Linked DNA regions of Danio rerio. The protein of the gene in region 3 purifies or fractionates together with the protein of the main gene of each other region. This does not show direct contact. Links are inferred from orthologs where the notes say so. Each region holds a gene or a part of one and is shown on either strand. Other genes may lie near its edges.

Region 1 (3,662 bases), on a different chromosome or scaffold from region 3:
CACATATCAGGAGACAATGGCAGTGTCATCCCATGCAAAAAGATCATCTTTGTCGAGACGTTTGATGGCATGACACAAAGACAAACGGCTGAGACAGGACAGAGTGAGGGTGACAGATTATGTGACGTCAGGAGTGAGAGTTACGCTACCTGCCTCCCAACTCACTGAAGTCCAGCGGGAGAGAGGAGAGAGGCACACAAATCAACGGAACAAAAATGGAAAACTAAAAGAAAATAAAGGGCTGAAGCATCGGCCCCTCAGAATAAAACATTCCTCTGTAAAGATACAAATACCTACCAGCACAGAAGGCAACAGAGGAAGAGCAAGAGTGCAAGACACAAAACACAAAAGAGCCAGGAAGAATGAATTCACTTGATGTGGGATTCATTTCCTGTAAACATGGTATCCAAATGTTCTGCGCTTCGTGGCACTTCTTCCCTTTCTGGATTTTATTACTCGTAAGTGCTAATAAAGCCTTAAAAATCCACGTTAAGAGGGACATCTTAAACCAAAACTACTTAAACTCAATAAGAAACTATATTCACAAACCAGTTTACTTCAGCAATTATAACTCATTTCCAACTCAAAAATTATTGTATTTTATAGTAAATGACTGGAGTGAGAAATGTTTCTACAGGATATGTAGCTGAAAGAGAAGAACTGAAAAATATCACATTTGCAGTATTATTAAAAGGAATAGTCACACAAATAATAAAATTCAGTCATCATTTACTCATCCTCAAAACCTGTTTGGCTTTCTTCTGTTGAACACAAAAGATATTTTGAAGAAACCTGGAACCGTGTAACTACTGACCTCCACAGTATTTGTTTTTCCTACTATGACAGTAATAGTTAAGAGATTAAGAGAGTAAATAAACAAATATGAATTTGGAACTGACTGAGCACAAGTAAATATTGAATAAACCACATTTTTGGGGGAGCTATCCCTCTAAGATGAGCTATCTCCTCAACTCCTGTTTTTCAAAATTCAGGTTCTCAAAAAGGGTTTGGGAACCTCTAGTGGTGTGTGATGGAACTGCTGTAGATTTGGATGATAGTGACAGAAATGACCATTCTAAATGACATTTAAAAAAAGTCATGAAATGCTTTTGAAATATATAGGAAAAAAATATATAGCTTAAAGGGGCTTGACCTTAAAATGATTTTTAAAAAAATTAAAAACTGCTCTTATTGTAGCTGAAATAAAACACTTTCACAAGACTTTCTCCAGAAGAAAAAAATATTATCAGACATACTGTTAAAATTTCCTTGCTCTGTTAAACATCATTTGCGAAATATTTAAAAAAAGAAAAAAAATAAAGGGGGGGGGGGGGGGGTGGGGTGGGCGGCGAATAATTCTGACTTAAACTGTAAACACACACACACACACACACACACACACACACACATATATACATATATATATATATATATATATATATATATATATATATATATACATACATACATACATACATACATACATACATACATACATACATACATACATACATACATACATACATACATACATACATACATACATACATACATATATATATATATATATATATATACATACATATATATATATATATATATAAAAAATGATAAATTAAGAGGACAGTTCAACCCAAAAAATTTAGTTAATTCATCATTTACTAGCATTTTGTGGTTTTAAAACCTGGGAGTTCCTTTTTTTCTGCTGAACCTAAAAGATAAAAAGGTAGCTGGTATCCATTGACTTCCATTGTAGAAAATACTACTATGAAATTCAATGGCAATCAGCTTCCAAAAATCTTTTTGTTTAACAGAAGAAACTCAAATAGGTTTTAAAGAGAAGAGTGAGTAAATCACTGAATTTTCAATACTGGGTGAATTATCCCCCCCCCCCAAAAAAATAATAATAAATAAATAAATAAATAAATAAATAAATATCAGACATATTGTGAAAACTTCCTTGCTGTGAAACATCATTTGGGAAATATTTAAAACAGAAAAGAAAAATTCAAAGGGAGGCTAATAATTCTGACTTCAACTGTATGTGCTGTATTGCAGTACTGTTCAATACATTAATAAAGCACTGCAGCCACATTAATAATCAGACTAAATACTACTATAGCTTAAATATAAATATTCTGTTATTCTGTATAATGATATACTTCATCCACACAATATAAATAATTTATCATAAAATAGAAGGAAAAAATAGTCTGGATATTAGAAAAGAATACGCACAGACAGGAGGTCTACATCAAGAGACTGCCACAAGACACCATAACTCTTACTATAATCAGTATTGTAGTTAAAAATTAGGAATGCACCTCTGTGAAATTACACACACATTAAGTGGAATATAGAGAAATATGAAAAACTATAGTGAGGTATAAAAACATCCGTATGGTTTTACTGTCATCTTAATTCCATGACCACTTTTACATTAAAATAAACTAACATGTACACATAAAAAGGACAGTTTAAGTAAAATTAACTGGAATGATAACTACTAACAACAAAATATACATCATTTAAATTAAAAATCACAATGACAGCGATATTGACAGAAGAATACAACCTATTTTTTCAGCTGATAAAAGAGAAAAAAAAAACACTAACAGCCATTTAGAACGTGCACATGCTTACTGTAGACAGACAAGCAAATATAGTGATCCTTCTTAATGTGGAGGGAGCGTTTATTCTGATCATCAGAAGGCATTAACATCTCCATGAGTGTCATTGGACTCACCTCTTGCCAGTGTCATCAGTAGTGCCACCTTTGCCCTGCTTGTCGATGACAATCTTGTCGTTCATGCCAAACTTGCACTCTGGCATCCCGCTCAGGTAACTCTTCATGACCACACGGCCCGACACGTGTGCACTCAACACCTGACCTGCACACACAACTCACCATTCAGTATTGCAATTCTCAGCCACAAATCTACTGTAAGGGCGTACAATCTATCATATATCTGTATTGCAACCTTAGAGCACAAAACCAGGAAAAAAAGGGGCATTTTATTTCAATGCTTTATTATCTTTCCTTTGATCGATGGTTTGTTAGGACATTATTTGGTGGGATGGAATTATTTGTAAATCTGGAATATGAGGGTGCCACAAAAAATCTACATACTGGAAAAAAAGGCTCTTAAGTTTGTCCAAATTAAGTTACTTATAATCAAATTTTTATACATTTACAGTAGGAAATTAAAAAAAAATGACTTGATGGAAAATGATCTTTACAAAATGATAGAAAAAATATCATTTTAACCCATACAATAAGTTTAGGCAATTGCCAAAGATATACCCATGCAACATAAGACTGGTTTAGTGGTCTAGAGTCACAATTGTCACATCAATAACATGCAAGAACGTCCAAAAGCATTGAGTTTTGATGAAGCTCGTTGGAATGCAGTTAGCCATTTTTTTTATTTAAAAGGACAGTAGTAAAATAATAATGCAATAAGCCAAAATCAAAAGAGTGATTTCCCCGAACATCAGCACAAGAGCATGACTGCACGTGACATCGATTTATAAACAAATGCTTAAAAACAATACATTAACAATGACAAAGCTACATATCAGACACCATATTATCTGTTTTTCTGTTTGGCAAACCAATATAAAATCCAAACAATAGAACTTTTCAGATCAACAAAGTGTTC
Region 2 (3,040 bases), on a different chromosome or scaffold from region 3:
GATTTTCCGAAGCATACTCCTAAAATAAAATGATCTCCCAAAGAAATGAGTTCTCCCCTTTATATGACCAGTGCATGGCCTAAAATGATTGTCTGAGCGCACACACGGGTGCCTCGAACATGGAAGAACGTGACAAGCTGCCCCGGGACTCTGGAGAACAGGAGGGGAAGAGGCTCCTTCATGTTAACCAGAATTACAGCCTGCTGCCGGCCATGACGTCAGGCTTCACAAGCTAAAGATAACTTGTGATTTCTGGAGCTTTACACATACAACCACTCAAACATTCTGTTTCATCAAAGTGCCATAATGGACAATGTTTCTGGACTCTGTTCCTCTGAATGGGCTGCACAAGACAGAACTGAATCTGGAGGAAGCAGCGATTTTAGTCTGTTCTCTCACAGTCTTACAGAGGAGCAGAGATGGGTGAAATGGACATCCTGCCAGAGGATCCAACAGACCACTCAAAAAAAACAACACAACAAACAAGTAAAAAGAAGGGGAAAAAAATGGGGTGACCATTCTTTCATACACACAAACATTCAATCTGAAGCTTGCACACACTGGTTACAAATGCGAAAAAGGTCTAAGCTGTTCCAGTTGCACTTCAAGCGATATTCTTTCTTCTAGCAGGTCCTAAAAAAACAGGATTTAGGAAAATATGAATTATAAGACATTAAAATATTAAGTGTCTTTCAATGCGATAAGCTCCTTTCATTAGACACCTTAAAATACCTTCAGTTGTTGCTGTAATTCACTGTTGAGTCTGGCTAAAACCGTATTCGTTTCTTTGTTTCTTCTAATGGAAGCCTGAATGGCCTTTTTGTCTTTACCGAGAGACCTGTTTTTAAACAGAGCATATAGGAGGCAGACGTTAATACACATGTAAATACAGTGAACAATGCTGGTTAAATCTCACAGCAAAAATTCCAGGATGTAGGTATCCAAGCAGCATTTTTTAAAGATTTGTTTTGTTTAATTGTGTAGCATAAAATATGCAAAATAAAACTTCAAAAAACAACAGAAACTGCAACATGAAACAAAAATCTAAACATGAAAAACCCCCAAAAAAATGCATAACAAAACCAAACATAAAACCAAACACAAAATAAAAAAACTAAATGAAACACGAAACAAAAAATACAAAACATGAAAAAAACTAAACAAAACATGAAACAAAAAACTAAATGAAAAACAAGAAACAAAACTAAACTAAACACAAAACAAACCATAAAACTCCAAACAAATCATGAAACAAAATACAAAACAAAAAACATTAAACCAAAAACACTAAACAAAATATCCGCAAAACATAAAACAAAAAAAATGCAAAAAAAAAAAACTAAACTAAACACAAAAACACAAAAATCACGAAACAAAACACAACTAAATGAAAAACAATAAACGAAAGAAACACAATACAGGAAACAAAAACATATGCAATACTAAACATAAAACACATAACTCCAAACAAATCATGAAACAAAAAAAAAACACAAAACAAAATAAAACCAAATAGAAAACAAAGCACAAATTAAATCAAACCAAACCAAACCAAACCAAAACAGTGATGTTTACCGAGGAATTGAGGGCTGTGTTGCTAGAACAGTGGCTATGACGTTAGACTTTTGAGGAAGGTCGTCCACATCTGGTCTGAGCTCATCTTCTGACTTCAGTCTTCGACGGACGGGTTTAGGAGGCGGGGCCAATGGAGTGGATACTTTGGCCTATAAATAACACACATTCAGGAATTACAAAGTGAAGCACTATTATTAATATGAACTGTGGTGCACAGAGACTGCCTTACAGAGTTGACAGTGGTTGCATTTCGTTCTTCGGCTTGAACGTCGTTCTTTGCTGTTCTCATCGTCCCGGCAGCTTCTGGCAATCTTTCTGCCTGTATATGTAGAGTTATTTTTGGAGAGAAATGAACACTTTACCACTTTCATTCGCCAAAGATGCATTAATATTATCAAAAGCAACAGCGAAGACTTACATTGTTAGGAAAAACCATGTTGATCCTTTGAACTTGATTATATAAAGTATATCACAAAACAAAATAGTTTTATAAAGCATACGATTTTTCTGAACAAACAAAAAAATGGTTTGCAATAAAAAAAACACAGTTCTTTCCCTAACTGCTAAAAATTCAGCTTTGACATCACAAACATAAATTGTTCAAATAAATTAAAATAGAAAAACTGTTATATTTAATAACAATTTCACAATATTAAACTTTTGTATTGGGTATATAAACATAAAAATAAAGCCACTAAAATACTGATGATCAATATCAATATAATTAATTAGGATTCTTTATACCTTAATTAAATATAATAGCAACTTTAAATATTTAGATAGATAACTATATTATATACATATTTCATTTTAATATATATAAATAATATAAATCATTTACATTTATTACAATTATGTAATTCAGTGCTTTTCACAGGTCTGAAATATACTTGTGGTGGTAGCCTGATTGAAACACCTTTTACTCACAACACAAATGGTCAACTACATGCGACAAACAAAAAAAATAATGTAATTTTTAACTATATTTTGGGTTTATTATGACACTGTTAAACACCTTTTCTTTACAATGGGTTAAAGTTATTTAAAAAGGCTGTTGAAATGAAATAAATCCACTATTTCTCTTACTTTTATGTTATTTAGGAGCCATGTGCACCCACAGACAGTTAAAGACTGCTCTCTCTCTCTCTCTAAAGTTGCTTTATTGGCATGACATAGTACAGTATTGACAAAGCATTTTAGATATGTATAAAGTGTGTAATAAATTAACATCATTAAATTATTAAAATATACTGAAAATTAGAAATACACAACAGAAAAAAGAAATAAATATAGACATTACTCCTAAAAATGACAATAATTACTAGAATAAAAAGTGAAGATTATTTAAATTAGTTGATTGGTAATTTCTTATTGTGTACAAATATTTTTCAGCCAGTATATTTTGTTCTGTCCTAGTATATAGTAAAGTTTATCTTGGTCGTTTCAAAAATGATTAATTATTTAA
Region 3 (3,662 bases):
TGATTTTTTTTTCTTTTTTTAATATTTCCCAAATGATGTTTAACAGAGCAAGAAAATGTTCACAGTACGTCTGATAATATTTTTTCCATCTGAAGAAAGTTTTATTTGTTTTATTTTGGCTAGAATAAAAGCAGTTTTTAATAAATAAAAAAAAAAAACTGTCAAAATTATTAGCCCATCTAAGATATATATATATATATATATATATATATATATATATATATATATATATATATATATATTTTTTTTTTTTTTTCCTCGATAGTCTATAGAACAAACTATCGCTATAAAACACCATGCCTAATTACCCTATCCTGCCTAGTTAATCTAATTAACCTAGTTAAGCCTTTAATTGTCACGTAAAGCTGTATAGATTATATTTACTGTCATCATGGCAAAGATGAAATAAATCAGTTATTAGAAATGAGTTATTAAAACTATTATGTTTAGAAATGTGTTGAAAAACTGCTCTCCATTAAACAGAAATTGGGGGGGAAAAAAAACAGAGGGGCTAATAATTCAGGTTGGGGGGGCTAATAATTCTGTGTGTGTGTACATATATATATATATATATATATATATATATATATATATATATATATATATATATATATATATATATATATATATATATATATATATATATGTTCTTGATCTTATAAATTAAATTTTCCTCAGTTATCTTTGTCACTATAAAACACATCACAACATGGAATAAAAGATCTGTCACTACTTTCGGTGCACTTTGACTTCGAGAGAAAATCACCCGTTGAACCAGCAACTGTGTAATTAAAAAGATGCAACACCACCTGTATGTGTAGAGGTGTAATACACAATACCATTAAATGTATTATTAAAGTCTTAAAGATAAGATGTCAACAAACAATGTTCTTTTGACATGGATTAAGATTTGCATAAGAACTTAAGTTGCACAATGCAAACAGTCCCATATAATGTGGGTCATTTATTATGTGTGAACAATGCAGTCATCATGTGCTCATCAGCAGACCACAATGTCCAGTCCAAACAAGAAGCAACTGTCTCTCACAACACACACACAATTTACACCACTGTGATTTTCCACAGTTACCCAACTAGTCTATTAAAAACAAATCATCACTTGTATTTCCTGTAGATATGAACTATTGAAACTGCACCTGTTCCTAAATACAATCATTTATAAAATGTCTTTCAAAAATAGAAACTTGATATTGAAAATCTACAAAAAAGCAGTAAAGTCTTAAACCTGCTGGACACTTGTCCTGATCCCAAGCCCCTCAATACCTGTTGCATGTACTGTAGCTGCTGTGCGGCGATTTGCTGTTGATGTTGGATATTGTGGTGCTGCTGCTGCTGCTGCTGTTGATGATGTAGCTGTTGCAGTCGCAGGTCTCCAGGCTGCAGCTGCTGTAATACTCTGTTCTGTTGACTGCTGTTCGGCATCTGTGCTGCTGACTGCTGCCCATTTCCAGAAGCTGAAACAAGCACACACACACAGAATACAGTCAAACTAATTCCTCCAATAGGGCAAAAACACAAAACAGCAACAATATTTAAGAAAAACATGGATAGCTTTTTGGCCTAGTGTACCTGTGGTTACAGTCATTTTCACAGGAGTTACTGAGCTGGACAAAGGCAGAACATTGCTATTTGCAGCTTTAGGCCTTTGTCTGGGTGCAATTGACGTTTCCGTTGGTCCAACCGAATCAGTTATTCTAATAAAATAAATGGTAAAAGGAGGCTATTTTAATGGTGTTGCATTCAAAGAATGTGAAAAATTACAAACAAAGTGCTAAAATGTTACCGGGCTTTTGTCAGGCTCTTCTTAGCAGCAATATCACTAGCAGTAAAGGGCTCTGGCAATGAGGTGGGAAGGGGAGAATTCTGTGTGGCAGAAAAAAAAAAATAAATAAAATAAATAAATAAATAAATAAATAAATAGCGATAATTCTAAATGAAATAAAATTAATGCTTGTTATTTTCTGTAGTCTATGATTTAGATAACTTACAAAAAGATTTGGCACTGGACACTCCTTTCCAGCTAACCGAAAGGCAAAGTAAGAAACCTGATAGATGTCAGGTCTCTTTTCTTGATCAGGCTCCAACATGTATCCTGTGAGAAAAAAGGTAAATAAAATACATAAAATGAAAGTATGTATGTATGTATATGTATGTATGTATGTGTGTGTTTTTATTTAGCTTACAGTTAAGAGTGATTGCATACAAATTATGTGACAATGAAACTAATGTGATATTAGGAACAGCACAAAAAAATGCATGCATATAAAAAAAAACACACACACACACACACACACACAAGGTTTACATAGAAGTATCAAGATGCCTGAAAAAATATAAAGTTATATAATTGAAGTAAAAATTCTTTAAAAAAAATATTTTAATATATTGTTTTTGGTCACACTTTACAAATAGGTTCCCGTTAATGTCAGTTAATATATTTACAAACATGAACTAATAATGAACAATAATTGTACAGTATTTATTAATCATAGTTCAACATTTACGAACACATTATTTAAATCCAAATTCTTGCTTGTTATAGCATTATTTCTTATATGCTCTTTAATTTAAAATCAACTAAAAATGAATGACGATAATACCAAAAGATGAATAAATACTGTAATAAATGCATTGTTCAATAATTCTTCACGATAGTAAATATTTTAACGATTATTAATTCAACCTTATTGTAAAGTGTTACATAGCTCTGTTAATTCTGTACATATTTTTATTCTAATGTAGTTTAACATTTTCATTGACTCACGCTCATGTCATTCCTAACCTGTTTGAGATTTTCTGTAGAATTTCAAAGATAAATGTGTTGAGATCTGTTATAAAGTCTAAAAACGGTGAGGCGTTTCTCAAAATATTTTTCTTTTATCTTAAGTCTTTTATATTTGTTTATGTTAAGTCAAACAGGTTTGGAACAACATAAAAGTGAGTAAAATGAGTAAATTATGACCACTGTAATTTTCTGCTGAACAATTTTTTAAGAGAAGGAAAACAGCAAGAAGTACCTCCATATGACCAGTGGATGGAGCTATTGTTTAACTTTAATTTCAAAACACTCCCACAGTCTATCAGGAAATAATCTCAAACCTCTTGGGAATATCTGAAAGATGCTTACTGATTAAACCGTGCAACTTTGAGGAGAATTTGGAACCGTCCGGAACAGCAAAGGTTCCATCACATATGGCAACCTGACTCTCCCCAAATGGAAGTGTGAAGAAACACAGCTTGTACAACAAGCATCCAAGCGCCTGTGGAAGAGAGAGAAAACCAAAAGCTAGAATTCATCACAACATTCAACAGATCAGGTTTCACAGCTCTATTATGTAAATACTGCACAGTGACAATACGTATAATGGCTGACAGCTGCTTTTCACACTGTGACAAATTCAGAGAATGTATCTATTTTGGGACCAAGAAAATGGACAGGAAGTACTGTCATACATTTCCTCTTCCTAGCCTGCAAGTTCTGACACGATGACCATGAACTTCTACCATCTGTGATGGCAAAACTGCTTGTTTTTTTGTTTTGTTCTTTCTTCTCTTACGTCCAGCATTTGTTTGGAAGGAAATGCAGCTGTAAGACGAGGCTAAGCTACCTACCTTTCACAGCATGTCAATATAAAAGAGGA

Evidence for each region.
Region 1: the proteins of bmp2k (region 3) and ap2m1b purify together in Homo sapiens (affinity purification with mass spectrometry; 3 studies listed by BioGRID and IntAct, counting the BioPlex papers as one, with this or other methods). This does not show direct contact. The link is inferred for Danio rerio from reciprocal best matches to the Homo sapiens genes BMP2K and AP2M1.
Region 2: the proteins of bmp2k (region 3) and reps1 purify together in Homo sapiens (affinity purification with mass spectrometry; 3 studies listed by BioGRID and IntAct, counting the BioPlex papers as one, with this or other methods). This does not show direct contact. The link is inferred for Danio rerio from reciprocal best matches to the Homo sapiens genes BMP2K and REPS1.

What each region holds. Positions count from the first base shown.
Region 1 is NC_133193.1:48,967,553-48,971,214, reverse strand, and holds part of ap2m1b (AP-2 complex subunit mu-B), read right to left. Parts: intron 2,892-3,662; coding exon 2,747-2,891; intron 1-2,746.
Region 2 is NC_133195.1:42,536,332-42,539,371, reverse strand, and holds the end of reps1 (ralBP1-associated Eps domain-containing protein 1), read right to left. Parts: intron 1,895-3,040; coding exon 1,805-1,894; intron 1,725-1,804; coding exon 1,576-1,724; intron 839-1,575; coding exon 733-838; intron 634-732; coding exon 565-633; downstream 1-564. UniProt on the Homo sapiens protein: May coordinate the cellular actions of activated EGF receptors and Ral-GTPases.
Region 3 is NC_133180.1:40,038,708-40,042,369, reverse strand, and holds part of bmp2k (BMP-2-inducible protein kinase), read right to left. Parts: intron 3,282-3,662; coding exon 3,149-3,281; intron 2,114-3,148; coding exon 2,010-2,113; intron 1,885-2,009; coding exon 1,805-1,884; intron 1,716-1,804; coding exon 1,591-1,715; intron 1,476-1,590; coding exon 1,285-1,475; intron 1-1,284. UniProt on the Homo sapiens protein: May be involved in osteoblast differentiation.